Linked DNA regions of Coturnix japonica. The main gene of each other region encodes a partner of the protein of the gene in region 3 in a complex. Links are inferred from orthologs where the notes say so. Each region holds a gene or a part of one and is shown on either strand. Other genes may lie near its edges. The genes, in order: RRN3, GTF2H5, POLR2L, GTF2E2, TAF1B and POLR1B.

Region 1 (5,558 bases), on a different chromosome or scaffold from region 3:
GCATTCCTACCACTGCACCACCGGGGCACACTATACATTAAAATCAAGTGAGAAACTAGATAAAAATAAAAAATTATGCCTTATTTAGCAAGAGTTAAAACAAGAACACAAATAATTAGGCTTCTTTAACAATAATGAGATGAGCCACCTGAATTCTGGGAAATGTTTTTAAACTGGAAGAGAGCAAGATTTGGACTAGCTATTATTAGGAAGAAATGCTTTACTGTAAGGGTGGAGAGACACTGGAACAGGTTGCCCAGAGAGACTGTGGGTGCCCCCTACCTGGAAGCATTCAAGGCCAAGCTGGATGGAGCTTTGAACAAGCTGGTCAAGAGGGAGGTGTCCCTGCCTACAGCAGGGAGGTTGAAATGAGATGATCTTAAAGGTCCCTCCCAACCCAAACCATTCTGTGATTCTATGATTTTTTTTTCCCCTTGAATCCAAACAGTGCCACAAGCAAACACCAGAGGAATAGGTATGTCAACCCAAGCTGAAATTCAATACAGCATTCAAGATACAAAGATGCAGATAGTTAATTATCCTGTAAGAATTCAATCTGTCTAATCAATAAACACATAGTTTTCATTATTTATATCAATTGTATTTGAGTTTACCACAAGCAGACAACAAAAAGCCTCAAGAATTTCCCAAACAGACCAGTTTTATTGAAGTAAGTAAAATGAAAACAGACAACTCCTCCCTATCCTTTGGCTTTGACACTATCTAGGACTAAGAATGCTCTCCTGAACATTCAGCTTGAATCTTAAAAATACTGCACCAGTAAATACCAGTATTTTGCAAGTAATGAGGATTAACTCATAACACCATTGATTCAAGTATAAAAAAATTCCTGACTTTGTAATTTAAGGATGTACAGCTACTAAAGTTTTATATCAACTCCTGCAAAGTAATTTAGCAAAAATAAACCAACATAGTAAAAGCATTACAAAAGCATTCGTAAGCCATATTTCCTTCCATACTCACTTTCTTCATCATCATCAGAATCTGAAATGTCCACATCATCCTCTCTGATGGTTATTCGAGCTACCAAAAATGAGATCATTATTGGAATACTGTGCAAATTTATGAGGCAACAATTCCAATGCTAAATGGAAGTGCACTGACAACAGTCTTCAGTGTGACTAAAACATCAAAATTATCCACAAGACTTTCTGAAATAACTGTTTCAATCAGAAAACCAGGAGGTTCTTAAGAACATCTCATACGATCACCATTAGAGACTCTTTTTTTCAGTTGTAACATTACACAGTTCTTCCCCCTCCCAAACATCTTAAATAAACAGCCTTTAGAGTTTTAGTTACCCATTAGAATAGATCTTCTGAAGTCTAGGTACATAAAATGGTTTGTACTGCAATCCAGTCATTAAAGTTAAAGTAATCAATAGAAAATATACAATTAGATTGTGATGTATAATTCTGCATACACAACTCATATACAAAATAATTATTTTGAAATAATTAAGAATATTAAGAGGGAAAAAAAAAACTTACAAGGAACAAACTGGGATACAATCATGCTCAAGCATGGCCTAAGATGGACAGTTTGTGCTGACACCAGATTGCCAAGAAAACCCAGATATTCTTCCACTACCTCTCGGCTTCTTCTCAACCATGGCAGCTTCTGAAAGTAAGTAAAGACCAAGGTGTCAAACAGATGTTTTGAGTACTAAACTCTTAACCTTTCCATATAATAAATCAGTATTTACCAGCAAAACGCTGACCAGTTGCTCGAAGTCCTTGGTCAGATATGTGACAGAAGTTCGAAATTCATGCAGCCAGTTAATGATCTGGGCATCCTTAATATAAGCAGGAATAATATACAGGAATAATATATGTATTTTAAAAAAAATAAAATAAAAAAATCACAAATCTATTTTAATAAAAATATGACCAAAAACAATAGAATTTTTTTGAGTAGCAAAACCCACAGAATCACAAGTCAAAGATTAAGACTGTAAATTAAAATTATTTTCATACAAGCACAGAAGAAATTTCTTGAACTAAACTTGCACCCTCACCAATGAAAATTCTTTAACGCAAGAATACACACACACAGGCCGACCAACAGCCTGCATGGGAAGTTTATGTAACAAGCTGAGCAAGGTATGCAAACCTCATTCACAAACAATGTATCTGTTTTACTTAGAATCTTACTTTCCTTTTGGTTTTGCTCTTAGTTTAAGCAGAGGAAAATTCAAGTATTCAAGTAAGAAATATCTGGAAGCAGAACCAATTATACGGAGAAATTTTTACACTAATTTTGCTTGCTCTCCCCACAAGATCTGCTAAAAAAACGTGTATTTTACAGAATACTCTATTTAGAAGGAAAAGAAAATCTAGATAACATTATGCTTCCTGCAGCACCCTTCTAACAACTGTGTGGTTTAACTAAAACACTACAAAAAGGAAAAAAGAAATAGAAAAACACAGTAGCTATCAATAGCTGTAAGGAACAGCCCTGAAATTACTACTTGTAACAACTAGATACATAAGAATCTTAATGCTCAATTAACTAAGTTCTTAGTGAGAGCTGAAAAAGGCAGTAATTCACAACATAAAGGTTCTGACAGTCAGCAGTTGTGGTTTTACCTACATTAAGGAATCTGTAGAGACAGGCACTACTGACCTAGTAAAATGGTGTCTGGAAGAAACATCTCACCAAAAAACAGTTTCTCACTCTAAAGCAAAGTCAGTAAGCATGAGACAACACTTATCAGGATTCTGCACATAAGATCTGCTCATAAACAGACAGTAGCTGCTTTTCATTACTTCTGACAGTTACTATGAAGTAAAAAGCAGTTATACGTTATCCGGCATTTAAAGCAAAGGATTTGCTTTTAAGCACCAAAACAACTTGTGCAGTGACATTTGGACAGCTGAGTGTCCCCATGCCATCACCTTACCTTTATGTCAGGATCTGACAGCTGATGCTTTAGCAGCTCAAAGTCAGTGGTTTCACCCTTCACGGGGAAGAAAAATAAATGATGCTTGTTACGCTTCTAGAAAGGAACTAAAAAACATACATCAAGAAATAAACAACAACAACAAAAAACACCACGTTTCACTGACATATCTCAACAACTGAAAAGCGTTTAATCACAACGCACAGAACGCGAGGGCAAAGCACGTGAGGCAGCGGCGGCAGAACGCGTCCGAGAGGCGGAGCAACCCCTGCAGACATTGGCGTCCCATCCGCTCCACACAAGCCCGGGCTTGTGAGGAGTTTCCGCTCGCACAGCAGAACCACCCGGCACCAGCCCAGAGCCTCGGACAGGGCAGGGCAGCTCAGCTCCAGCTCTCACCAGGACACGTCGCCCACGTGGGCCCCGGTCCCGCGCCACACACTCACCCGTTCGTACTTGAGCAGAATGTCTGTCAGTGTGCCGCCGAACCGCACGGTCTTCTTGGGCGGGGAGCTGATGAACTCGTCCCCCGCGAGCATGGTCACGGCCCCGCGCATGAAGAAAAGCGGAGCCACCTCAGTCCCTGCACCCCCCCGCACTGCGCTACACCTCGTCCCGCGGGCGGCAGCACAGTCAGGCAGCGGCACAGCCATCACCACGCGCCACACCCGGCAGAAAAGAGCGCCAGGCCCCACCGGAAGCGGGGACCGCTCCTCCTCTCGCACCATAGAGAGGCGAGGCTGGAAAGGCAGGAACTGCCCCCGGCGGTGGCAGCGCAGGAGGACCGAGGCGGGCGCTATCCGCTATCCGCGCTCCCCTGCCGGGCGCTGCGCTGTAGAGCTTCCTCGGAAATCTTAACTCCAGATTTGACCTCAGCGCCACGCTGGAGTAGCCATTTTACTGAGAAAACGAACAAAACGCAATTGAATCCTCACGATCCTTGGGATGGAGTCTGCTGAAGGAGGGCTGAGTGCCGTCTGAACAGAAAAGCATGTGAACCTGGGAAGCAAGCACCTGCCAGCACCGAGAGACAGTTAAACCTCATGGAAACTTCATTTTTGCTGTCGTTCTCCAAACGCTCCCAACAAAGCACCGCATCCACATTCCTGTCCCAGTGCAGTAATGGCTTCTCCTCCCCCACCACTGAGCACTGCATGAACAGATGCCGTCCAGTTCCTCAATGCACTCCAAGTGAATATATTTCAGGACATAACCATAATTAAGAAGGAATTTAAAAACATGAAAACGTTCAACAACTTTCACACAACAACTTAGAAAAGTACAAATGAAAACACATTTTCCTATATAATCCTTCAGTAATGTTCAGTGTGCTCCCAACCTTCATCAGTTCAGCCATATACTTCACAGTTCCCTGGCTCACACAGACCAGCTACAGCAACAAAAAGATCTCAGCCCTTCTCCAGCTGTAGCATCTGCTGATCCTCTGGGTTGGCCGCCTCTGTAACAAGTAGCTCCTCCACAACGATTTCCCCCCTGGAGAACCCATTAGTCCCATCAGAGATTGTTAGAAAATTCATTAGTAACTTTCATTTCATTTCTCCCTGTATAAGATGTTCCCATAATAAGCCACATTTACAGCACAGGTGTAAAGAGCCTAACAGCAAGTACTTAACCCTGCAATATGGTTATAAATTAGAGAGATATGTGGTCCTTTGGTAGTCACACAAGGAAGTATCCTTTTGAGCAAGCGTTAAAGCTTAGCCAGCTACAAAAGACTCATGTATAAGCAACACAAAGCTGAAACCCGGTTATAGGAGACCATGGTGTGCCCCGGTGGCGCAAGTGGTAGGAATGCTGCCTTGCAATACTGGAGGCCCTGGGTTCAAATCACCCCTGTGGCGCAAGTGGTAGAAGTGCCGCTCTGCTACACAGAGGCTCGAATCCCGGGGGTTGGACTCGATGATCTCTAAGGTCCCTTCCAACCCGCACGAGACTATGATACTATAGTTGTATTTGAAGGGTGCAGACTGTCCTTTAGGTCTAAAGGAATCAAGCTACAGACATAAAGCTGTGTTCATGCAACCACACACACTCCTACGTGTGTTCAAATTCTTTGCAGTCAACAACGTAAATGCTCCTTGCATGGACTTTGTGCTGCATTGAGCAGCTGACAAGGACACCAGGAAACTAAGATAGTACTAAACACCTGTTAATGATTAGCTACTAACAATTGAGTTGCCAGCTCCTATTTAGTATTAAGCTTCATTATGCAGAATGCAAACAATAGGCTGCATGACAAGTAACTATTTTATATATTAAAAAACAAAATAAAACAAAACCCACCAGCCCATACCATAGCTTATAACAGCTCTGCTCCACAGCAAGCACTTTTTACCTCCTTGTTTAGATACATCATTAGTAACACCATGGTACTCCTCCACGAAGAACACAGTCTTTATTTTTTGATGTGCCAGCTCCTATATTTAAAATTAAATTGTACATACTATTCATAATTGTAAACATTTGAACCTCATATAATTTGAGTGACATGTCAGCAGCCAAATGGCATTCTAACAACCATCCATCACAGTCACTAAGTATCTGATACTGGGTAGAAGATTCATTGTAATTTGCGGTAAACTTAAAGCTGTACTCAATTTACTTTGATAACTAT
Region 2 (5,359 bases), on a different chromosome or scaffold from region 3:
AATAAAGCCAAACTATTATTTTGGTATCCAAAACTCATAAAGTTAAAGAAGTATTTGATTTCATCTGACCATGCCTCCAATGTATGGGGATGCTCCATCAAGCACAGACTTGCTTTACATTCAATCAGTCACTCTATAAGCAAATTTAATCAATTCCACAGGAATATAACACATCAGAAAGGTTCATAAGGGATTCCAATACAGAAACATCACTCATTTCTGGGTCATACCATTTCACAAGATAACTCTAAAGGAAAACCAGAAATCACGCATCAAAAAGACCCCTCTGCATGTTCTTAAGTGTATCATTTTATGGATTTTAATAAAGACACTATAATATTTCAAAGTGAGAAATAAAATTCAGTTCAAGAGTATTTTGGCTATGAAAATTACTCACTTTCTGAAATAGCCACTTTAATGCAGAACTTACTAACCACAGTCTATTAAAACAGTAACAACCCAAACTACTGAAATTTGCTTTTTCAGAATTGGCAGCAATCTCATTTCTCATCTTTTTACTTCTGAGTAATAGGAAAAGAGTTTTGGTCCATTAACTCGCCCACTCTCTCCTGAAGGAAGTTAACCAGCTCTGCTAATACAAAGACATGAGTTTCATCCAGGTCTTGTATGATGAACTTCTTTCCCAAAGCATTTGACTCATCCAAGTAGAGCAGAAACTGCTTCATTGCTGGGTCACTGCAGAGACAAATACACATCAGATTCCACCTCATTGTAATAAGATACAGCTAAAAATTAAGAGCATCCTTTTAAGACATTCTCAAAGTTCTTAGGAAAATTGTACCAACTTCAAGAGCTGCTCGCAATCAAAAGAATGTTAGAAGAAAGACAAGGTTTACACAAAGAAGCAATGAAAATGATACCAAAAGTGGGTGGTCCTCAGTCTTCTTCCACACACTCTTTTTTATGGGTGCACAGAGGTTTATTTTTGCTTGTTTCTTTCAGATGTACCTTACCAACACACTATGAGTACCAGACAGCATAAGCTGGTGTGCCCAGGCATATGTCAGGCAATACACACATATTTTCACATAATCAACATACAGGAGTGCACTCAGTGCCAGTAGATGTACGTTACAGCAGAAACACCGATCTTATTCAGCATTTGAAGATTATAATCCTTGAGATTTTGTCCTCAGAACAGTTTAGCTATATACTGGAATAATACAGAGGGAAGGAAGAAATCTGTATATTATCAGCATTTCATAGTTTTATTTTAATGTTTTACTTTAATGTTTAACACATTCAGAAGTATTTATTTTTTCCAAACTTCTTGCTGACTTTTTACCTAAGATGCCCTGGAAAAGCTGAGTTGTGAAAAATTGGTATCTGAAAAGTAAACAAGGGGACAGGTTTGTAATCTGCTCTCAGGATGGACTCATCAGCTACCATTATGCAAAGGCAAGAAGGAAACAAGAAAGCAACCAGCAGCTAGAAAAGCCAACATAAAAGTGAGTTACCCAAGGGGCTGTTCAAACTCTGATGGCATAACAGATGCTACAGACTTCTTGTCAGGCAAACTATTTCCTTCCAGGGAGGATAATAAAGTTTCAAGCTAATACTAAATGGGAAATGATCACAATATTGTACAGGAACACACAAATCTTCCAGAGCAAGTAAAATAAATTACAAAAAAACTACAAGGCTGTACTGTCTGCTTGAGATATTAGAATTTCTTGTTTTGCTAGTCAACAACTCTGCTTTGGGTGTCTTGAGAAAATGCAGGAAGGCCATTTCTTGCGTTCAGGTTTATCAGCATAGTAGCACGCAGCCAAATTGGAGCAGAGAAACTTTTTGTGATAGTGGAATTCATGCTCCAAGCTGCTCATACCAAACTATGAGGCATTCAGATGTGAGCTGGCTAATGTCCAGTCAGCTCAGAAGTAAACCACAGTAGGCAGACAGCTGTATGCACCATGAAGGATGTTCTGCACTCATGCAGTTACAGTCTGTTAATATGTTTACAATTTAAACATACAGCAGAAATCCTGTACATAATGTAATGATATATAATGACTCCACAAACCTTGAGTGACACTTTCTTTAACCTGGAGGTAATTCTTATCAGAACCTTAGTCTAGGGACTTCAGACTGTATAGAAACAAATGGACTGCACGGATATGAACAGCTTACTGTCTGAAATTATGAGCATATTCATTTTAGAGTAGCCAGCCTTGAGTGTGCGAACTGGAATTGATAAAAAAAGAAAACAAAAGACGAAGCATGGACAAATTTCCCTTTAGAATCAGAACACATCACCCAGGATGAAAACTAATTAACATTATTTACAATATAACAAACAAGATGAATACATGATGGTTAAGTCTAAGCAGAAAACAACATATCTGAAAATATGAGTCAGGAATTAAGATTACCCACAACTGTCTCTCTCCTTCTTCCCTTAAAAACCATGCCTTTCATCTGTCTGTTTGCTCAGTGTCACAGAATCACAGAATGACCCGGGTTGGAAGGGACCTCAAGGATCATGTAGTTCCAACCCCCCTGCCTGGCAGGGCCACCAAACATACACATTTACTAGATCAGGTTGCCCAGGGCCCCGTCCAACCTGGTCTTGAACACCTCCAAGGACGGGGCATCCACAACCTCCCTGGGCAGCCTGTTCTAGGGCGTAACCACTCTCCTAGTGAAGAACTTCCCCCTAACATCCAACCTAAATCTTTCCTCCTTCAACTTGGATCTATTGCCCCGTGTCCTGCTATTGTCAGCCCTTTCGAAGAGTTTACTCCCCTCCTGGGTGTAGGTTCCCTTCAGTTATTGAAAGGCTGCAATAAAGTCACCCCGCAGCCTTCTCTTCTCCAGGCTGAAGTTTACAGCAAATACATTTTTGGGTCTAGACTCTTAAAAGCACCTAAAGTATTTCCAGTCCTAAAGAAACAGTTGAGTAGATGCTGATGCTGTCACTAACCATTCAATCAGGACGCCCTTCAGAACATTCACCATCCTCGCAGCTCTCACAAACGCTGCAAGGTGCGGGTGGCAGCAAAGACTCCTGTTTGAGGTTACAGATAACAGCAGATGAAACCTGTAAGACAAAGAAACGCTTTAGTTGAACTCAGCGACCCAGGACCCCCCTCGCCCCGCCAGCACCCAGAGCGGCTATGCCCCATCCCCCCACCCACTCCTCCGACAGCAGCCCAGCCTCCCGTTGCCGTGTGCGAACCGTGGCCTTGCGAAAGGCGGCCGGGGCGAAGGCAGACAGGCTCCAACCCGTCCCTAGGTTAAACCGAGGACGGCGAACGAGTAGCTCCGGCCCAGCAAGCCCAACCACTGCCCCCACATACACGTACTACGCAAGTGCAGCCCTCGCTCCTCCTATTGCCCTCCTGACACTGTGCGGCGTGATGACGTTGAGTGCGTGAGCGACGGTGCCGGCTGCGAAGGGAGATAGGAAGCGGAAGGTACGGGTAGCGCTGTGGAGAGAGGGGGATGGCGGCGGGGCAGTAGGAGGGGCCAGGGATGGGGTCTGTCCGTGGTCCGATGATTGTGTTTGTCAAACCTCAGCCTTGAAGCCCCTCCTGGCGTGGGGCTGGCCGCTGGCATTGCCCCAGTTGTGCGGAGGCGACCGCAGGGAGAGCGTGCTTATCAGAAATGTAATAAATGAAGTCAGTGGATAAGTGCAGTGCTGAAAGGAGACAGGGCAGAAAGTTGGTGCATACAGTAATCGGTGCTTTCACATGGCCTGAAATGCCTCATTGCTTAACACTACAACTGTACATTCATTGAACCTCAATCTGTAGATGCTAAAATACATCCCTTATTAACTGTGATGTTACAGGGTATGTCAGCAAGAAAAGACAAACGTTTCCAAATCTGACTTGCCTACAATGTATATGAGTTGTTAGAGCCTGCTAAGTCAAAATACAAGACTTGGGTGTTAAGATAAAATTAATTATGAACAGCTAATTACTAAGTCATATGCTGTACTCAGCACTGTCTTCATGTGAACATGATGCGTTTAAGTGAGGATTACTAAGACATTGGAAAAGGCCTCACACAGAATCACAGAATTGTAGGGGTTGGAAGGGACCTCTAGAGATCATCGAGTCCAACCCCCCTGCCAAAGCAGGCTCCCTACACCATGTCACACAGGAAGGCGTTCAGGTGGGTCTTGAATATCTCCAGAGAAGGAGACTCCACCACCTCCCTGGGCAGCCTGTTCCAGTGCTCCGTCACCCTCACTGTAAAGAATCACAGAATCACTGTAAAGAATCACAGAAAAATGCCTCTGCCTCAAAGCAGAGCAGGTAGTCAGAGATGGATACTTACCAGTATTAGCACAAATATGTAATTGCATGAAGATTTTCTGTAAACTTTTGCTGTAACCAAAATGCAAACTACTAAATTCAGGAGTTTATAGGCTTTTTAATTTTTACTTAGAGTGCTTTATAACGCACAAAATGACATAAATATGCTTTACAACCTTTCCTGTAAAAAGGGAAACATGGCTACAAGTTTTCTGTTGTAATTGCCAAATCAATTTATTTATTTTTTTCTTTTTCTGAATATACAGAATGTCAGTGGCTGCTTACTGCATATTTTGCTGTAGACAAATAGGAACTTCTGGCCCAGCCACCAAACACCACCCATCTTGGAATAATATAAGTAAGTACAGTTCTGTAAGTATCAATCAAAGGTGTTATTAAAAGAAGAAAAGGTCTGTGTGGGTGTAACACTGTGCATGATGAAGTTGACAAGAAGAGACATAAATCTCCACATAACTTGTGATCAAAGCTTTTATTTTCCTGAAGCGGATGTCTGCTTCTGGCTTGCTTTGCATTGCAGTAGTAACACTAGATTATGTAGATGATGGAAGTCCCACCAAAATACAACCTCATTAAATTATTTTAAATTACTTCTGTTTCATCTTTGGTCGTTTTTTAATGATTAGCACAGTGAAAGCATTGCATCCATAAAGAGTTAGTAACAGAGCAGCAATCGAACAAACCTTGTTTCTCTCTCCTTCTGTACTGAATTTTTTTTCCTCTTCTTTAAGTTCTATGATCATCCCTGCTTAGTTTCTGCTTTCTTTAATGCCTTGTGTATAGAACTGTAAGAATTTTTGTTTTAAGGTGTATTTTCCAGCACTAAAAGACAGGACATTTCTTACCATTTCTGCTCTATGGGAATCACTGCATTTTTTTTGTTTGTTTCTTCTTTGCCAGTTATTTCTTTGGCATGTAACTGCTTCTTGTCTGCATGCCACAATTCTTAAAGTCAGAAGCTGATGGCAGTGGGTCTAGGGCAAACCTCCTTCATGCTGAAGAAAACCAATTATTCATGATAGGTGAGATACATTCCATTGGGTTTGCTGCTACTCATA
Region 3 (3,773 bases):
ATCTCACATCTTCTATGATCAAACAAGCTGCAGCCACAATAGAGCTATTAGATTACTAAGATCATCTCCAGCAGTCAAAGCAGGATGTCCAGAAAAGGCAAATTCAAACGCTGTGAAAACAGCAGAGGAAAGTTTCCTTCAAGAGAGATGCAAAGTTGCATGTGAGAACTGGGTGGGAAAGTTAAAACCTGCTTTCGTTTTTAAAAGCTAAACAAGAGCACTTCCTCCGGGCAGCTGCACGAATCCAGCCTACATCAACAATAACCCCCCACCCCACCACCACCATCCTTTCTCCCTCCCATCAGCAAATGTCTGTCTCCAAATACAAACGCCTTGCACGTCACAGTTCAACAAGAAAATTGCTTTGGAGCCCTGGTGCTGAAAACACATCAAAGCATCGTCTCCAAATTCTCAACTTCCCTCCCCCAAAAGAAAAGAAAGCAAAGGAGAAAAAGAAAAGAGAGTTTGGCTCCCACTGGCCTGAAACAACAATAACGATAACAATCTGCAGGAGGTTTCTCCACCCTCCAAGCCAAGCCGTGCTGCTTGCACACAGCTGAGTGCAATCACTCCCCGGGGCTGCAAAAATCGCTGTCTTTTCATTAGGAAACGTTTGCAAAACCTCCTTCAAACAACCTCGCCGGTTAAAACGAAACTATTTGCTCCTCTACAGTTCAAGTTAGGTCTGCGCGGAGGGTCAGCAACCCAGCGGTCCAAAACACAGGCACGAAAGGCGTATTAACATAAGCTGTGCATTAAGACTTTATACGCCTGACAGTAATGGCTCTGCGCCGCGCGCCGTATCAACTCGCAGATGCTCCAGCAGCAAAATACAGTATTTTGGGTGCATCCCCGCTCTGCCCAAGGACAACCGTGAAGCAAGAGGGCACTAAGGACCGACAGCGCTCGGGGTGACGCTTTAACCCAGTCTGTCCCGAACAGCAACGTGCCGCCCTCAAGTTACAAGCATCGCATAGCGCAGCACTCCGCGCGACGCTCACACGGGAGGATCGCACGCGGCTTCACGACGCATCCCCCGCTGCAGCCCAACTTCCCCGGCTGGGGGCAGCCAGTAAAGCTGCAACGCGACGCTCGCGGTGCCACGGCCGCCTCCACCCTCCGGGGAGCGGGATAGCGCCTCAAGGACGGCTTATGCCCCGTTTGCTTTCGCTGCGCGCGGCTCGCCGACAGACCGAGGAACGCTACAGCGGGCAGCCCTGAACCCCCCCACATCACCCCCCACAGCCCCCAGACCCGGAGTTCAGCAACTCCCGACTGACCTGCCGCCGCCACGGGACCGCTAACCTCGCTTACCCCGCTGACCACGGCAGCGCTCCGCAGCCCGGCTTCCTCCAAATGAGCGGGCAACGCCGCGCAAATCGGCGCCGAGCGCAGCTCACGGAGCGCAGCCCCTGCCCGGCTCCTTCCCCTTCCAAAGGGGAGCGAGGACACGGAGCAAACCGCCCCAAATTGGGGACGCCAACACAGCCGCGAGACGGACCGCGCCTGGCGCTACCAGTGCGCGCACCGGGAAGGGAAAGAAAAGGGAGGAAAAGGGAGGGGAGTGCGACGTGCTGCCCCGTCCCACAGCGCTGCCGTGCCCCGCTGGTTGGCGCCGGGCTGCAGCCACCAGTTGCGCTTCCACCCCGCGCGGCTGCGGTACCTCGAGCAGGACGCGATGAAGAAGTGCCTTCTGCAGAAGTCCGGGTGTAAAGCAACAAGTGAGAGCGCGGAAGGAAGGAAGGAGGGAGGGAGGGAAGGGCACGGCGCCTCCTCGGCTCGGCTCAGCCCGCCCCGCCGGTGTCTCCGCTCTGCGCTCCGCCGGCCCCGGCTGCCACCACGCGCCGCGCACGCGAAACGCGATCAGCAGCCCGCCCCGCTCGCAAACACTATTGAGCCGCGCAAGGAGCCGTAGGGCGGCCGCTACCATCCGCCGTCCTGTGCGGGAACGGGGGAGCTCCAGCGCCGCTCTGCATCCTCACGGCTGAGCAAGAACGGCTCGCACCGCCCGTGTCCCCCCGGTGCAGTGGGAGCGGCCGTAGGGCTGCGCTCGGGCAGCTGCAGGAGGAAGCGGCGCTGTGCGAACCATGATCATCCCGGTGCGATGCTTCACGTGCGGCAAGATCGTGGGCAACAAGTGGGAGGCGTATCTCGGGCTCCTGCAGGCGGAGTACACCGAGGGGTGGGTGTCATATTAACAGCACACGCTAATACCTTGCTTTAAACTAAGCTCAGAGCAATCATTGCGTTGCTTAGGAGCACTTACGAGCGGTTCTGACTCGTTTTGTATTTATTTCTTTTAATCGTGTTGTTATTTGTTAATAGAGATGCCCTGGATGCCCTCGGATTGAAGCGCTACTGCTGCCGCAGGATGCTCCTGGCACACGTGGATCTGATTGAGAAGCTGTTGAATTACGCACCGCTGGAGAAATGAGAGTTGATTGACCCAGCCACCAGCTTCTCCCAAGGAAATAAATGAAGGCCGACATCCACTTCACAGCTACAGCTTACATATGTAGATGTTTCTCTTTAATTACATACAGGTTGTTATTGGTTTCTTTTTGTGAACTTTAGGATGCTTTTGCCCGTAAAAAATAAATGTGTTTTATGAAATACAATCATTTGTCTATGTAAAATGTTGAACTAGAGGAAGCCTCTGCCTGTGGCCTTCCTGGAGTTGCTGGGTAGAGTTCAGCATACACTTCCATCTCACTATTTCCTCACAGTGGTCATTTTGAGGTTAGAAATACAGTGTTTGAAGCTAGGGCAATCAAGGGGGGTTAGAAAGAGAGCAAAGTTCCAGGCTCCAGAAACAGCACAGAGGATGTTTGTTTGCTATGAATGAGGCATTACTCTTAGTAGGTTGCAGTGCTAGCGGAGCTCATTTTTTCACTGAAGTCAGCCTATAGTGTCTTGTTAAAAATTGGGGCAGACTGGCAGCTCCATCACAGAAAACAGTAAATCAGGTGGCGCAGTGCTCCTCACTTAGGTAAAATACATCTGAAGGCAATGGATGTGAGAATTAATGCATGTAACTGTGAACAGGATCAGAGTCTTGCCAAACACCTGCACTGCTCTGTTGCTGGTATGAGTGCAAGCTTCCCACTTGTCAGTCATTTCATTGGCTTCATATAGGATGTATGTGCAGCCTGGGACTGCCTGGCCAAAACAACCCACCTTTCCACTGCTTGCTGGATCAGACTTCTCTGCTCAAACCTCAAGAAGAGATTGTCTCAGAAAGAACAGTTAGAGGACAGCCAGCCTCTGGCTATAGCTACTACCCTACCAATCTCTACACTTGATCTAACTTTTCCATTTATTACAATGGGATAGTGGCTAAGTTTTCTCATATTCAGCAGTTCTGCAAAGACACTAAAACCACATACTTCAGCCTAATGCAAAGAGAATTAAGCAACTCTAGTATCCCCTTCAGTTTGCGGGATAGCTTTTGTTCTGTGTGACTGCCATATTACACAACAAAATTCACTTAATAACAACTCTTTCTGGCTGTCTTTAAAAAGGGACACTATGAAATATAAGATGACTGTTTCCAGCTAAAATCCTGTAGGACCTTTCCATGTTACAGCAGAGCATTATGTGGAGATGCATGTAAACTTGCACACAGGAAGCTCCAAATGCCAGGTACTGAGACAGCACAGCAGCCCAGACCGCTGCCTCCAACTGAGGTGGCCAGGCATCAGCACCAAAGGATCAGAGAGCCAACAGAGCTTTGTTTCTTACTCTGAAAGCAAAGCAGATACCAGCACAAGGTT
Region 4 (4,232 bases), on a different chromosome or scaffold from region 3:
GAGCCTGACAACGGCACCACAGCACACCAAGCTAATCTTCCTTTCCTGCTCTCTTATTTCTTGACTTAATACAATTTTCATCTTTGAAAGTAGCCAGAGACATCTTTAGTCTCCCTCTTAATCACTTCAGCGGAGAAACTGCACAGGTAACTGCATCACAGCCTGCCTTGCAAGCTTCAGCCCACAGCACAGGGCCAGGCTGTGCAAGATGACTGGGAAGGTACTCCATTAAGGCATGAAAAGCAACTCACAGCTCACCAAGAGCTCTGCTTTTGTCCAAGCAACACCACTAGGAAAAGCACGGCTCAAAAAAATGCAGCAGGCAGAAGGGAATCTTTGTCATTGAACAAAGATGACAGAAAAGAACAGTTTTGCAGGTGTGCCATGGGTGCTTTAAAGCAGAGCTGTAATGGAAAAGTAAAAAGCTCCAAGATGAATCACTTGTGCTAACCTGGAAGAAAAGGGAAAGAACAGGTTTCAAAACCAGCATGCTGCCTGCTTTTTATATATACACATATAAATATAAAAGGAACCTCCTACTGGTGTTGAGCATCTCTTTACACAGGACTGACATGTACCATGTTCAAAGTGCCTGTTTCACAAAAGAGCACACTCTAAAAAGCTTGTGTACTATACAGAAGGATAAATGCTACACTTACAGAAGTTTATTTTTCCTCCTGCGCTTTCCCAAGCAGACGTAATCTGTTCAGCACTCCACCAACAAAGCCTTATTCTTCATCTGTTGGTGTGCCCAGATCCAGCGGCCTCTGCTCCAATCCTGATACATTAGGCAAGACAGCAGCTCATGCGCAGGCAGCGGCAAACTGTTGGCAGGTATCACACTCATCTGTTTCATCTTTGATCCTAACCCCAGAAGAGCTGAGGAACAGCCCCTCTGCAGCAGCACTGTGAAAACAATATCAGCATTGACTGACTTTGGTTCAGTACATAAAAATAAGTTATCAAGAAGACATAATTTGGCTACACTCCATGTTAGGCAGTCTGTACTGCAACCGACATGAGGCATCTACAGCGAGCTTTCATTTAAGGTGGTTTTCTCCCTCCTCCAAACAAGAATGATGAGAGATGACAGGGTTAGCCCAGAACAATAAGTCATTGAGAAGATTAAAACACACCAAAGACTCCTTTACCTCTTTGAAAAGGAAAACACAAGTACACGCTCTCATGTTCTTTAAGGAAGAAACACTGGAAACAAGCACTGTAAGTTTATTAACTTAAAAAAGAAAAAAAAAGAAAAAAGTTGCAGTATTACACTGTCAATTTATTTCCCCTACCCAACAGTAGGACTGTGCAACACAGGTACATTCACTACAGTGAGGAGAAATCGCCTGTGCAACAGAGCTGCATCTGCTGCAGTGAGGAGAAACAGCTGAGAGCAATTTCTGATGAGCATCGAGAAGCAGCAGCTGCAGTGCCCCCCTGCAGCCTGCCTGGAGCTCTGGAGAGGGTTTGTTCCAAGTCAGAACCTCAGGTACCATCAGTTTGGTAAAGTTCAACTCCATAGCAAGGCAGGAACACACAAACTGTGGGCATATTTGACTGTAAAAGAAACTCGCCTGCAGTGATTTTAGGAATAGGTTTCCCTGAAATAGGTACAACAATGCTGTATTCAATTCTACGAAAGCTCCTCTGAAGTAATTCCAGGTAAACACCCATTAAGCAATGTAAAAGCAGAGTTAAGCAGTGAACAGGAACTCCTGTATTTCATGTTGAGCACCATTTATCACTCTATGCCAAGAGGCAATTTGAGCGAACCTTTTATTTGAAGACACATTTCCAATTAGCTAATTAAATTAATCTCTAAATTTAGTAGTCCAAACTTGCTTTTAAACAGATCTGCTCCATCTTGTCAGCCACTGGGATGAGGGAAACACATCACATTACTGTACAGAGTCAGTCTTCCTGCAAGCAGTCGCTGAGCCTGAGTGGCAAAAAGCCTGTGGAAAAACGTCTGTTTGCTTCAAAATTCAGCCAGTCACTGTTGGCCAGAAGTGACATCAGAGTAATCTTTCAAGACTCCAGCCAAATGGTCATTGTGAGTCTTAAATCGACGTTTCTTCTGAGAAGTGGGTTTCTTCCTCTGAGCAGGAGCCTAAAGGAAGAAATAAATGGCAGTTAAAAGATCTGCCTTCCAGCTGCAGCATCCGACCTGAGGTGGGACACACTGTGCTACCTGCAGCATTAACCTCACTGCAAAGGGGAGCTGTGTGCAAAGAAGGAGTAGGCAGGAGGCGAACTGTCTTTATGCAGGAAGCAACTGCACTGAATTCATATCTTGGCGGGGAATTGGCACTGGGGATGCGGCAGAGCCTCCTGGTATCTTGTGCACTGTAGGAGAGCTGGCATTTGTTTGAAAGTGGGATTTCTGAACACTCCCAGAGAGCTACCGAAGAAGGCAGACAGCCCATAGCTACAATGATGTGCTCAAAGACACATAGAGAATAAGCGGAACACAAGAGAAGTGCCCACATTACAGCACATATTATAACATCCACTGTAGCAATGGCAGAAACCAAGAACAGATCCTGTGTGGAAGGGCTTTGTGAAGGGCCAGTCTGAAGCCAGGAGCAGAAGAGAAAAGAGATGGTAAACCATGTATCAGTAAATGTAAAAAGAAAAAACAGCAAACTTGTTCTAAGCCAGGAAGAAAGCATCTTTGGAGATCTTGTTGCCATTCTGGCCCACCAGTAAAGCATGAGCACATTGCACTCTGTCTGGGGAACAGCCCAAGAGTGGTGGGAGGCGGGTTACACAATTCCTATCAGCGTTTTCAAGGCTGTTCAGCAGAAAAGAAAAAGGGAAGAGAAAATCTTCTCCCAAAAGAGCTGCTATTGTTTTGCTCCTAACGTACTGTACAGCTTTAAGGAGAAGCTTCTACTTTGGAGTTCTCAGGGATTTTTGGCATTTGCCCTCTTCTTGATGTTGCTGGGATTACGCTGGCTGAAACGAGTTACAAAAACACTGGCTGCTGGCTTCAGCATTGTTTTTTTGAAGCTTCTTAAAATTGGTTGCACTTCCTTGAGCTACATAAAGCAGCTGTGCATAGGCGCAGGAATTAACATCAGCAAGGAGGGTCAGCAAGGGGGGGAATTTTTCAGAAAGATCTGCAATTTGTATTTCTTACTATTCTCCTCGGTCCAGCTTCTCGCATGGAAGAAATACCCTGTCGTTTCAGGTACTCTTCAACTTTGTCCTCATCTATAGAATCCATGGGAATGCTCCTCCACAGCTTCCGAAACTCTGAAACACGAAACAAACCCTTGTTTCACAACTCAGTGAACAAACCAAACCATAGGCAAAGCCCTTGCACGAAAGGAAAGAAGAAACAGATCTGAGTTCTGACACTGAAGTACTCTGATACAGCAGCCTGCAATGCAGTTTTTGCTGCCAGCAGGCACCCAATTAGCACAGCCTTTACCCACTCTTAAAGTTGGATGCACTTCCAAAACCCACCACCAACAAAAGCTCCCAGTGCTTCATGGAAAAAGATGAGCTGATTCACATCTGCATTAGGCGTACCCCAGCATCCCAGCTTCAGGGGCACCCACAGACAAAATGTGTCTGTTTAATGGTAATTTTCTGCAGCATTCATCCTTCTGCCTAGCACCCCCGTGGCAGAGCAGACTGTTAGTGTGTTTTATAAGCCTCAGTTCAAATGATCCTGGTGAAAGGTAATAACTAACCATAAATGGCAACTTCATTTACACATCTTCCACTGCCATTGTCATGGGAGACTTGCCATCTCTTAGTCCAATTTACTGAAGATTGAAGACATTTAACTTCAGCAGTTGCAAGCTCGTTTATCGCTGTAATCTAATACATACCATGCCGTATGGATAATAAATTACTAGAATTCTTCTGATGTTAAAAAGAAGAGAGATACCTTAAAAACCACAGCAGCAGGAAAAAAAGCAGAGACAGTAAGTCTTAATTAGAGCAGCTGCCATCTGCCTGAGCACTTTCTGCCTCATGTAAAGTTTCACAGAGCCTCTGGAATGCCTTCTCCCGGCAGCGGCTGGTACAGTTCTACCTCCCTTCATTCCCCAGGCAGTCAGTTAGATATATCCTGTCAGCAGGTTTGGCTAACAATCTATAAATAAAACACAAGGCGCACATAGCAACGCAAGACTAAATTTTCCCCTTTATTTCCAGATAAATTTTGTATACAGTTGTCAAAACAACCACAACTTCTGCATGCGTAAGAAGTTGTC
Region 5 (5,154 bases), on a different chromosome or scaffold from region 3:
CGCCAGGAGCAAAACAGCTTTGCAGCGATGAGACCAATAACCTCGGAGGAGATGGTAAAAGTAAGCATTCTGCTCTCAGTGCAAAGACAAAGCACTGAGATGTGCTGCTTTGGCCAATCCACGTGTTAATATACAACCACATGTACCAGGAAGCCCATTTCCTTTTGGACCAAAATGTGAGATTCCTCAAAGAAAGTTATATCCTGGCTCTCCCATACCTCTGATCAGCACAAAACATCCCAGCCTGACACAGGAAAGGGACAGGTTAGCCATGGAGCAGGCATCTATCCAGGACTCCACGTTTCTAAGACTTTACCTTTCCCAAAATGCAGGAGGGTCCAGGGCCTTCTACTTCTGGCCCTGCAAAAGCACCCTTTTGACAACACCCCGTAAACAGCCTAAAATAGCATTTCAGCAAAAGTCTTATTTATCCATCCAGGAAGAAAACTTGGCATTAAGCATTCAGGGGAAGGAACTTTTGAGCTTCCCAGGAAGTTACAAGGAAGTGAGTTACTCACTGTGTTGCCTGCAACACTGCATGAAGCTTTGCCAGATCTTCCAAACACAGCTGTTTCAAGGGACGTGCTACAAATAGGTTAGGAAAGACGTAATTACACCAAGAGCCCATACAACCCAGTATTGACAATAAATTAGACTAGCGTTGCCTGCAGGCACGGGACTTTGCTGATGCTCGCTCTCTTGTTAAATCAAGCTCAGGGCCCTCAGCAAAAGAGGAGAAAGCCAAATATCTCTGCTTCATGTCTGCAAAATGGTAAGAACTTGAGAAAGAAAAAAGTACGTGACAGATTAAGTTGGTAATCAAGAATGCAAACACATGGAGGCAGTGAAAAACTAGTGAGGTAAAATTCCAGCTGTGTTGGCTTCCAAAGAAAATGACTCGTCTGATAGTTCTCCACAGAATCAATAGGAAGGTTGCTTTATTTAAGAAAAATCTTAAAGTATGGTTGCATTTGTACTCTGAATGATAGAAAATAGCATTTAATCTAAGCTTAAAAAAACAACCCACTTAGCTTTAATCTACATAAGAACATTTGACATTTAGCGTTAAAAAAACCAAACCAAACCAACCCTCCTCACTTGGAGACCTGCATTTCCAAGGGGAGAAATACAAAAATGTACATGTCAGAAGGCTCAGGGAGAACTCATAACTCTCAGCAAAGAGCTACAGAAAGAAGCAGTACTTTGAGGTAGGAAGAAGAGGCGGCTGGAACGGGCTGTGGCAGCCACCCTGCCCTGCAGCCAACCGCCTGCAGCTGCTCAACCAACGCCTCCTCCCCAGGGTTACGTTCAGTGGACTCAAAGCAGTTGTCCTAAGAGAGCTGGGCTACACTCTGCTGAAGATAAGGCACAACCATGGCCCATCAGCTTCTTAAACACCATTACTCCAGGATAAGTGTCAATTGATTAAACTGGGTAGAACTAACACTAAGTATTTGAGAGGCACACCCTTAACTTTTAAATCTGACTCTTAACCTATGTGTCCAGGAGGCACATGGCTCTTGATGCTTAATTGCAAGCTTTATTCCAGTTTATTAAAGTAGAACTTTAATTTATTCTAACATCTAAGGGAGCTTTGTTACATTTGTAACAATGTAACGAGTACAGTATTTTAATTTATGAAGCTGAGATTTTACTACTACAGTAGTTTTAAAAGAAATATATACCTATAATTGTCTAAGTCTTTCAAATAAAGACTTCTGAATTAAATGGATCCTTTACATATAATAAAGTGTCTTTTAGATAGCTAATTCTAAACTTTAACAAATACTACAGTAAAACAAATGGGATATGTTCAGTAGTTGGAGCAGGCCCTGTTGAAAGCATTAACTCTTCTGTAGGTTTCTAACTGATAGAAATACTTACAGAGAACAAGAACAAAAGATGGTTTTTCTCCATATTGACCGACTTCAGCAGTTCACTCAGGTGAGGTCAAGCATAACAGCAAACAGCTAATTCTACAATACAGACACCAGACACAACGTCCAATTCAGTCAGTACATTCCATTAATGCAATCACCACTTCAAGGCATCAGAAAGTCCGGAGGTATCCAGCACAACATGGTGATGTGGTCAGACACACTGAACTATACTGCTCAGGAAATACTTAATACAAGTAACAGCTCATTCTGTAATTTCCATCGCAAAACATAGTTTGCTAAAACAGTACTTTCCCATCTGAACATCAGAGTCACATTAAGGGACCGCCGCTCTAAACCCCTGTTCTGTAAGAACTATTTAAAATGTCTAGACAGCACTTTTGTCTATAACACCACCCAGAAACAGCTGCTGATTATGTTACCGATCAAGTGTATTTGGGAACTCCTATACTTGGGAGTGACAGATGGAGTTACTGAATTTTATTTCATTCAACTGAAAGCAGTATTACTCATCTGTATATCTACTCAACATCTCTGTTCAACATATGCATATGTTATGGTGTCTTTCATGTAGTGGTAGCACCCAACTTCATTTATTCCTTGTCTGAGATAGAATAAAAACATGGTGCATAAATAAGTTTGAGCATGAGAAACTGGGAGAATGGCTGAGGCATGAGTGGTGAAAGTGCTATGATACGAAGCAATAAGAAATGAAGTACAACTCAGGAGACCGCAGTGAAAGAAGAGTGACAGGAGGATCTGACCAGCACTGCTGTGTAAGAAACAGGATGGAGGGCTCCAAGTATAAAAGCAGTTACAAAAGCTGTGGAGCCTGGAGTGGAACACAGACCCAAAAGGTTTACACTCAAATGAGAGGCTTAGGCTTAAGAAGAGACAAGGAGATACTTGGGATGCAAGGAGATGTTGAAAGCAGTGCCAGAACTGCCACAACACACAGTTAAGAAACAAAAGCTGAACAACTCACTGTAGAGAAAACATTGTCCACCTGCTCCTTTTATTTGTTAACACACTCTTTCAAAACAAAGTAAACATTACTTTCTAGAAACGAAGTTGCAGTCATACAAGTCAGTAAAAAAATAAGTAGCATTTTAATTGCAAAGCCTTGCAATGCAATTAGATGCCAATGTGCCGTCCAGTACATTCAAAGCATGTACAATTATGTGGAAAAAAAAATGGTAATTTCATAGCTTCCTGTTGGCCCTGCTGCAAAGTGAGGAAATAAACCTTGGTCAACAGTTTCCCGGGTAGCTCACAGCTGGAAACCAGCAACTTCAGTTATGGATAACATGACACTACAGCTAAACTGCAGTAGTAGATGTCAGTACTAAAACCTTAACAGAAGATTTCTATGTAGGCAAAAGCATCGGTATCAGTTTGAATAGCACGGTTTGGGATCAAACCAATTCACACAGCTTCAATACTATAATATTCAGGTCTTTTTACTTCCTTCGGCGTCGCTTTCCGTGTTTTGGCTTTTTAGAGAGTACTTTATTAAAAAGTTTGTGTTCTATCGCACACACCTCTTCGTGGATGGAGGAGGGCTGTATCCTCAGAAGGAAGGAGAAAAGTCCCAGTACAAAATGGTAACTCTTCGGAAAGTCCTCTTCTCTGTAGTGAGCCAAACAACCACACAACCTGAAAAGAAAGAAAGGAAGAAAGCAAGCCCTGAATTACAAGTGCATGTAGTTAGTATTTTGCAAACATTTATATACTCAGTTGTAATCAGAAGAAAACACCAACATTTTATCAATTGTCTAAACCACAATTCTGATCTACCGTGTCAGTTCTGTCCTGAAAAAAACTCAGAGGAGTTCAAAATAGCACAACATCCAGCTGCTTCAATTAAAAAACCCTTTACATTCATATGAAGATTCAGGTGCTATTCCCTGCCTAAACCCTGTGCATCCTCTCGCTTACAAGGTGTTGCCCTGGGATGTGGAGAAGCAGAGATTCCATTTCCCCTCTTGTCTGATTCAGAGCAGCGGTCTTAAATATTCACCAGAACAAGGACTGGAACCTGTCTGTCCCTATTTATGGGCAAGTGTGCTAATTACTAGACTACGGAGTCATTTGCTCACTCCCTCTGGCCCAACACCCATTTACATTTTACCTCAAACTGGAGGAACGGATACACTATTCTGGAGTGCCACAAAAGCCATGGGAGTCACACTTCAGGGTGCAAAGTCACTGCTTAAATCCTCCTGATTAGAAATCTGAATGTAGTTCTCTCACACCAAAGCCTGTCTTATACAGTCTGTCCTCTGCCTGAAAGCCACCAGCTCACAAAAACCAAATTAAATTGTTCATTTCAGTGGTGTCAGAACAAACCAGCTGATTCCATAACCCACGCTAAGTGTCTGTTAAGTTTGAGCTTCATTTATAGGTGCTGTTGGTTGAACCAAACCTGCATGTTTTGGCCAAGAGGAATTAAAACATGTTGTAATGCTCCAGCCTTAACTCTGAGTTTCAGCAACTATAACTTCTCAGGGAGTCTTGTTGTCAGAGCTCATTTTTCACTGGGAGGGCAGGGAAATTATATTGGCTATTTTTAGGCAATGTGTAATTACATCAACATTATAAAGCACCCATCTGATTAACTGGCGTCACACTTTTCACAAGAGTCCCAAAATGCAACCACAAATGCACCATTGTCCCATTTTGTGCTATTCATACTATGAGCAGCACTAAAGAGCTACAAAATTTCCAATACATTTTAATCTGTGACGCAACAAGGGAAAGATCAGTTTTTCTTAACACTTCTCACACCTAATACTTCATTATCTCAAAATAACAAGGGAGATCCTGGAACTTGGACAAACCATCACCTCTGACTGCTACGTTGCAAGGCTGACTGAGCAGAAGGTTCAAACTTCCAGAGTCAGACCAGAGAAGACAACCTTTTTCTTGCAGCACAGTAACTCCAGGCCCCATACCAGTTTGAAGACCATGAAGCACATTGCCAGTCTTGGCTGGACTATCCTACCACTGTTTATCTGCTTGGTCCAATGAAAGATGGACCGCAAGGGCAACACTGTCCTAGTAATAATGCTGTCATAATAATGCTGTCATAGCAGCTATGAAGCACTGAGTCACCTCCGTTGGTGTAGTTGTATAAACATGGCATGTAGACTCTTGTTCATCACTGGTGCAAATACATGGCAAAGCAGGGCTTGGGGGCTGAGAATCTGCTCAAATAGTGTTATTGCGCTCTTTGTATCTGTTGTAGTTTCCATGG
Region 6 (4,841 bases), on a different chromosome or scaffold from region 3:
GATGAACAACCCAGGATACAGACTGGGTTTTCCTGTCATTGGGATAAGGACCACTTCGGCCCGTGCAGGAAATCTCTTCTCTTGTGTTATCTGTTTGTGTAAAGGAACACTGATTTAGGAATACAAACCAATATTGTTTTAGTTAAGCTGCATCCTACAGGCTAGGTTCACACCCACAATGGAACTACCAAGCATGGATCCATCCATGGATGTAGCTATTAATACAAAATGGTGAAGAGCAAATTTAGAAGGTATTTCTAGTAATATCTCCACCAAGATTACTTCTACCATGCTGAAAAAATAAGTTCTCACAACAGTGTCAACATCATAAACCAGGAGACCAAACTTAGAATAAATACAAGAAAAAACAAAAAGCCTAATACTAACATGCAGAATAAGATAAATTATCAGGTCAGACTTGAAAGGCAAACAGAAGTTAGGCTTCTTTAGAACTCTGGTGTCTTTTGGTTTATTTCTGGCCACTGCATATGGAGCACATTTAGGTAAGTCACATTTTAAAGAAGACAACCTTGAATCGCCGGAGGGCTTCTGCAACCTGAGGAGCCAGGTCCCATTCGACCCAGCCCACCACTGCACCATCCAGCACCACGCGGTAGCACTCAGCGTACGGCTTGCTTGGGGTCGCATCAATGGGGACGACACCTGTGACAAGATGGGGCAGGGGAGGGAACAGCCAAAAAAGCAGACAAATGCACGTTATTTCTGCAGGAAGCCTCAATCCACATAAAACAGCTTTATGAGCCATCAGAAAAAATTCAGAACATCTGGACAGGGCAAAGTGGTAGAGGAGACTGGATGGAAAACATAAAATGTGCACAAGTGAGAATGCCATTTCCCATCCAGCCCCAGCACTCTTCTGGATGAAACAAAACTCCCATCACTGTGCTAATCACTGGAGGAGCTGCAGTTTAATTCAAGTTACTAGAACATTTTCCACATATGGGTTTGTAGGGCAGAAAGGTAAAAATGAAGACTGCTTCATTAGATAACTGAGCAAGTAAACTGTACCTAGAGCACATAACATAGGTGGAAGGTCTGTCACAGGAACCATCTCTGTCACTATTTCACACACAGCTGTCATGTGGTTCATCAGACCGCAGGGCTCTCCATCTGGGGTGTCCACAGGGCACAGGAACCCCCAGGACTCCGGCAGCAGTTTGCGCACCGTGGTAGTTCTCATCTGGGCAAACACTGACCCTCTGTGAACGCAGCGGAAGTGCGAAAGGTAGCGAACAAAATTCAGCTTGTCCCCCACCACACACAGACCGCTGTCCTGCAGCATGCCAAGGCCTGAGGAACAAAACAGAGGTTTACATCAGGATGTTGCTCAGTTTTATGTTGTTTCTCATGCTGTTTAGGTAAAAAAAAGGGCTTCTTATACCTTAAGACTTACCAGTCTTAGATCGCAGGTTACCAGTTGCAAGAAGATACTCAAATGACTTGGTAACATCTGTGGTCAGACCGAACGCCTTCATCAAGCTGTCTGCATTGATGGTGATGTTGGCCTTTTCTGTTTTCTTCTCCAAAACGAATTTAACAGACTGCAACCAGTTCTCAAGCCTCTCCTGTGGTTTAAGAATGTGAGACTTGAATTAAATACAGGAACACAGACACTTTAATGAGTGGCTCAGTTATCTACGCAACAGAAAGCCAGTCTATTTAGAGTCTTTGCATTTACAGGAGAGGTTGCTCACTCCTCTGCTTATCTGACAGGGCCAGACAGGACAGCAATCCCTTCTGCTTCCTGGTACCAGATTGGGAAAGTGCTACAATGCTTCACATAATTCATTTTTTATTCTCTTTTTACAGCCATTGAAACCACTCATGTAGTAGACAAGTTTTAGAATTGTTTCAACAAAGCGATGCTAAAGATTTTGGCTAACATGGCAAAGAAAGATTACAAGTTATCTGGTAACTCAGGGAAGCTTTATTACTTGGGGTTGACAAATTTCACTTCTGAGCATTACTTTCTTTTTGGCATTCTACAATGAAGAAATGCCAGAAATAACTTGAATCCAAAGTGAACTGGAATAGTTTAGGAAGCTGCACTTTTACACCACCAGTAATAAATTAACAGTGTAAATTGGAAGTATACTCCTAACTTCCTGATCTGTAAAAGAACTCAAAGACGGGGTAGAAATGACAATATAAATCACTGATTTTCAAAGAAAGAGGATGGGACAGTTATTTACTTGCACATCTGCTGTGTGACACAGCAGGAGCACCACAAAGAGGCTGATCTTTATTACTAATCTATCAACTGACACAACAGCAATATGCTGTTTCAAAACCCTCCGAGCTGGTGTTCCTCCTTCGCCAGACTCCAAGCCTGAGCTTTCATTTCTGTTGAAGGTCCCAAAGCTTTTCACTCCATGTTTTACTCAGGCCCCTATTTAGTGCGGTTCGTGCTGTGCTGCATTAGATTCAAGTCTTTATAGTATACCAAGGCTCCCTGCTCTTCAGTTTGGCTCTGTATTTCTCCCATCTCCTTGGCCACTGCAGGTCCTAGATTGGATGACCCCTCCATACACAGGCCTTATGACCTTACCTTTAAGAACATAAGGAAAAGCTGTCCTGCAGTAAGCACTTCTTGATTCATTAGACTGTCTGGATTGTCCTCCATGCACTCCCCTTTGGCAAAAGCATACAGTTTCCTGGTCATCATACAAAGCAGGTAGAATTTTTCAGTTCTGTCTGTCAGATGTATGCAGATACACTTGCTGGAGGGAGAGAAAGAAGGACAATTAACACCAGCTCGTCACGCCAGCAGTTCTTCATGTTTGCTAAATAATATCAAAATCTTTTTCCCCCTGTTGCTAGAAAGATACAGCCAGTTGATCACATGAAGGTGAGCCTCATGGAAAAAATGTATATCATATACTACTACACATCCTTACAAGTATACAGTTCACATACACAGGCCCACTTAAGAGATAAGATTTGTACATTATTTTGCAGCAGGTATGACACCAAACACCACTACATAACCATATACATGTGCCCAACTCCACCCCAAAATCCAAGCTGGAGACTAGTAACAGATCACAGAACACTGCAATCAAATCCCTGTGTGGAAACGTGTGCTGAATGACATTTTAATGCAAGCAGTAAAGCTGCTAAACTGCCTTCCAAGACAACAGAAATAACCTGCTTTCCAAGATGTAAGCACAACAACCTTCCAGAATATGAGCACACAGGATCTGGTCACTCTGTACCTCTGCTCCATAGCGCCCTCTTCTGAAGTCTGTACAACTTCACCATAAAAACAAACATTCAAAGAAAGTTCTGGCCAGGTAGAAGTTACAATGCAAAGTACACCCCAATTGATGCTTTCCACAATTGCTCTTATCTCCACAGCGCAGACAGCTTTGACAAACATTGCGTACAGAACATACCACGGGACAATAAGACACCACCAAAAAGCACGAGAGTATTTAGACTGAAGAAAATTACAGTATGACTTTCTTGAAATTATCCGCTGTTTCTCAGTACAAAGAGCTGTTCTTCCAACAATTCTAAGTGCTTCTCTGAGGCACTGAAAAATTGCCTCAGTGCTTTTAGACACCTGATGATTACTCCTTATTTCCAGGTACTCAAGGACTTGGGCATCTCAAATGATACTTTTCAAAACACTTTACTAAAACACTTGGTCAAAGAACTAAAATCTGTATTACCCGAAAAAGAAAGTTAGTTGAATGCTTGTCACGCTGGCAATCTCAAACCCCTCTCTTCCATTTCTTCCTAACTTATTCCATTGAAAAAGGGAGACTTTAAAACATCCAATTCCTATCATTTAAGTGTAATTCGCGTAATAGTTGCTAATGACTGCGTGAAACAGCAGATAAAACGCCACAAATTACCCTAATGGTTCAACCTATTGAAACTAAAGCTGTCCACACAACTTCCCCTTCTTTCAACTTGAACAGAATAGATTATCACAGTATCCTGAAGTTCCACCAAGAACTGGCCACCCGCTGCTATTTTATTAGCATGTACAAAAACCGTAATGAGAGTGTGAAATAATATGGCAGAGTATTCCTAAAGTTGCTTGAATTTCAATGCAATAGCACAAGCACACACTCCTAAACATGTACATACGTACTTGAAAATGAAATCCGCAGCCTGCTCATTGCTGTACCACTCGGGAAGGTTGAGTTTTACTCTGAAGCTCTTTCCAAGGTAATCGAGGACGTTTTGTTGCGTGTAACAATGTGCTTCAGCTACTGCTCTAAGCATCTCAGTAACACAGTTCACATAAAAGGAGTCGTTTTTCTTGTCTTTGACCAGCTCTTCAAAAATCTGGTAGTCTGTGAAATTAACTAATGCCTGAAAGACAGATGCACATCAGATCAGAAGAACAGTCGTGGCAGTATCTGGCCATAAAACAGCAGAGGTTGGGTACCCCAATGATTTAGGTTTTCGGTCCTCTGGAAATGGAAAAATACTGTGGGATTAATGTACTTCAAGAGCAGCACAGTGGATATGAATGAGGTGATGATCACAAGTGGTTCCAGTCTAACAAAACCCTTGGAAAAACAAACAAACAAACTTGCATCCTCTATCTTAAAAGGCTTCTTTTGTCTCAAGTTAACTCCTTATCTCCACAGAAGTCAAAAGACAGCTTAGCCTATTACAATCCACTTCAGCTTCAGCAATTCATTTTCTACATCTCATGCTTAAATCCTGTGTTCTGAGCACTTGGTGTTATAATGTTTCCTAGTTGTTTATGTCAGGGTTTAAGTGACCATTCTGCTCACCAGTAACTGGCTGACAAACCTCCCCCATCTGTAAGCAAACTGTCTCTCCACTACATTTAAAAA

What was found.
Region 1: POLR2L (region 3) and RRN3 share a complex: the UniProt entries of both Homo sapiens proteins name them as parts of the pol I pre-initiation complex. The link is inferred for Coturnix japonica from reciprocal best matches to the Homo sapiens genes POLR2L and RRN3.
Region 2: POLR2L (region 3) and GTF2H5 share a complex: the UniProt entries of both Homo sapiens proteins name them as parts of the TBP-based Pol II pre-initiation complex. The link is inferred for Coturnix japonica from reciprocal best matches to the Homo sapiens genes POLR2L and GTF2H5.
Region 4: POLR2L (region 3) and GTF2E2 share a complex: the UniProt entries of both Homo sapiens proteins name them as parts of the TBP-based Pol II pre-initiation complex. The link is inferred for Coturnix japonica from reciprocal best matches to the Homo sapiens genes POLR2L and GTF2E2.
Region 5: POLR2L (region 3) and TAF1B share a complex: the UniProt entries of both Homo sapiens proteins name them as parts of the pol I pre-initiation complex. The link is inferred for Coturnix japonica from reciprocal best matches to the Homo sapiens genes POLR2L and TAF1B.
Region 6: the proteins of POLR2L (region 3) and POLR1B are in contact, whole or in part, in a cryo-EM structure (PDB 7OBA), measured with the Homo sapiens proteins. The link is inferred for Coturnix japonica from reciprocal best matches to the Homo sapiens genes POLR2L and POLR1B. Residues at the interface, in NP_066951.1 of Homo sapiens: Met1, Ile2, Pro4, Arg6, Cys7, Phe8, Thr9, Cys10, Gly11, Trp18, Tyr21, Leu22, Leu25, Gln26, Glu31, Gly32, Arg42, Tyr43, Cys44, Arg46, Arg47, Met48, Leu50, Ala51, His52, Val53, Asp54, Leu55, Glu57, Lys58; in NP_061887.2 of Homo sapiens: Leu16, Leu19, Thr20, Asp21, Pro22, Tyr24, Gly25, Pro27, Ile157, His160, Glu161, Glu162, Ala163, Phe698, Leu701, Thr702, Arg713, Gln715, Thr716, Pro717, Gln718, Ser719, Leu721, Asp733, Asn734, Pro736, Asn740, Ala741, Ile742, Asn760.

The regions. Positions count from the first base shown.
Region 1 is NC_029529.1:43,697-49,254, forward strand, and holds the start of RRN3 (RNA polymerase I-specific transcription initiation factor RRN3), read right to left. Parts: upstream 3,635-5,558; 5' UTR 3,577-3,634; coding exon 3,370-3,576; intron 2,981-3,369; coding exon 2,924-2,980; intron 1,817-2,923; coding exon 1,727-1,816; intron 1,642-1,726; coding exon 1,512-1,641; intron 1,045-1,511; coding exon 985-1,044; intron 1-984. UniProt on the Homo sapiens protein: Required for efficient transcription initiation by RNA polymerase I (Pol I). Required for the formation of the competent pre-initiation complex (PIC).
Region 2 is NC_029518.1:46,899,943-46,905,301, reverse strand, and holds the start of GTF2H5 (general transcription factor IIH subunit 5), read right to left. Parts: upstream 3,427-5,359; 5' UTR 3,327-3,426; exon of another isoform or gene 3,200-3,326; intron 3,062-3,199; 5' UTR 2,980-3,061; coding exon 2,945-2,979; intron 697-2,944; coding exon 516-696; 3' UTR 1-515. Other genes in the region: protein SERAC1, read left to right, coding at 4,551-4,641. UniProt on the Homo sapiens protein: Component of the general transcription and DNA repair factor IIH (TFIIH) core complex, which is involved in general and transcription-coupled nucleotide excision repair (NER) of damaged DNA and, when complexed to CAK, in RNA transcription by RNA polymerase II.
Region 3 is NC_029520.1:8,951,129-8,954,901, reverse strand, and holds POLR2L (DNA-directed RNA polymerases I, II, and III subunit RPABC5), read left to right. Parts: upstream 1-2,004; 5' UTR 2,005-2,087; coding exon 2,088-2,182; intron 2,183-2,325; coding exon 2,326-2,434; 3' UTR 2,435-2,618; downstream 2,619-3,773. UniProt on the Homo sapiens protein: DNA-dependent RNA polymerase catalyzes the transcription of DNA into RNA using the four ribonucleoside triphosphates as substrates.
Region 4 is NC_029519.1:30,654,085-30,658,316, reverse strand, and holds the end of GTF2E2 (transcription initiation factor IIE subunit beta), read right to left. Parts: intron 3,262-4,232; coding exon 3,146-3,261; intron 2,114-3,145; coding exon 1,997-2,113; 3' UTR 1,189-1,996; downstream 1-1,188. UniProt on the Homo sapiens protein: Recruits TFIIH to the initiation complex and stimulates the RNA polymerase II C-terminal domain kinase and DNA-dependent ATPase activities of TFIIH. Both TFIIH and TFIIE are required for promoter clearance by RNA polymerase.
Region 5 is NC_029518.1:88,001,017-88,006,170, reverse strand, and holds the end of TAF1B (TATA box-binding protein-associated factor RNA polymerase I subunit B), read right to left. Parts: intron 3,555-5,154; coding exon 3,359-3,554; 3' UTR 922-3,358; downstream 1-921. UniProt on the Homo sapiens protein: Component of RNA polymerase I core factor complex that acts as a GTF2B/TFIIB-like factor and plays a key role in multiple steps during transcription initiation such as pre-initiation complex (PIC) assembly and postpolymerase recruitment events in polymerase I (Pol I) transcription.
Region 6 is NC_029518.1:13,948,302-13,953,142, reverse strand, and holds part of POLR1B (DNA-directed RNA polymerase I subunit RPA2), read right to left. Parts: intron 4,348-4,841; coding exon 4,124-4,347; intron 2,742-4,123; coding exon 2,570-2,741; intron 1,587-2,569; coding exon 1,415-1,586; intron 1,312-1,414; coding exon 1,030-1,311; intron 664-1,029; coding exon 530-663; intron 91-529; coding exon 1-90. UniProt on the Homo sapiens protein: Catalytic core component of RNA polymerase I (Pol I), a DNA-dependent RNA polymerase which synthesizes ribosomal RNA precursors using the four ribonucleoside triphosphates as substrates.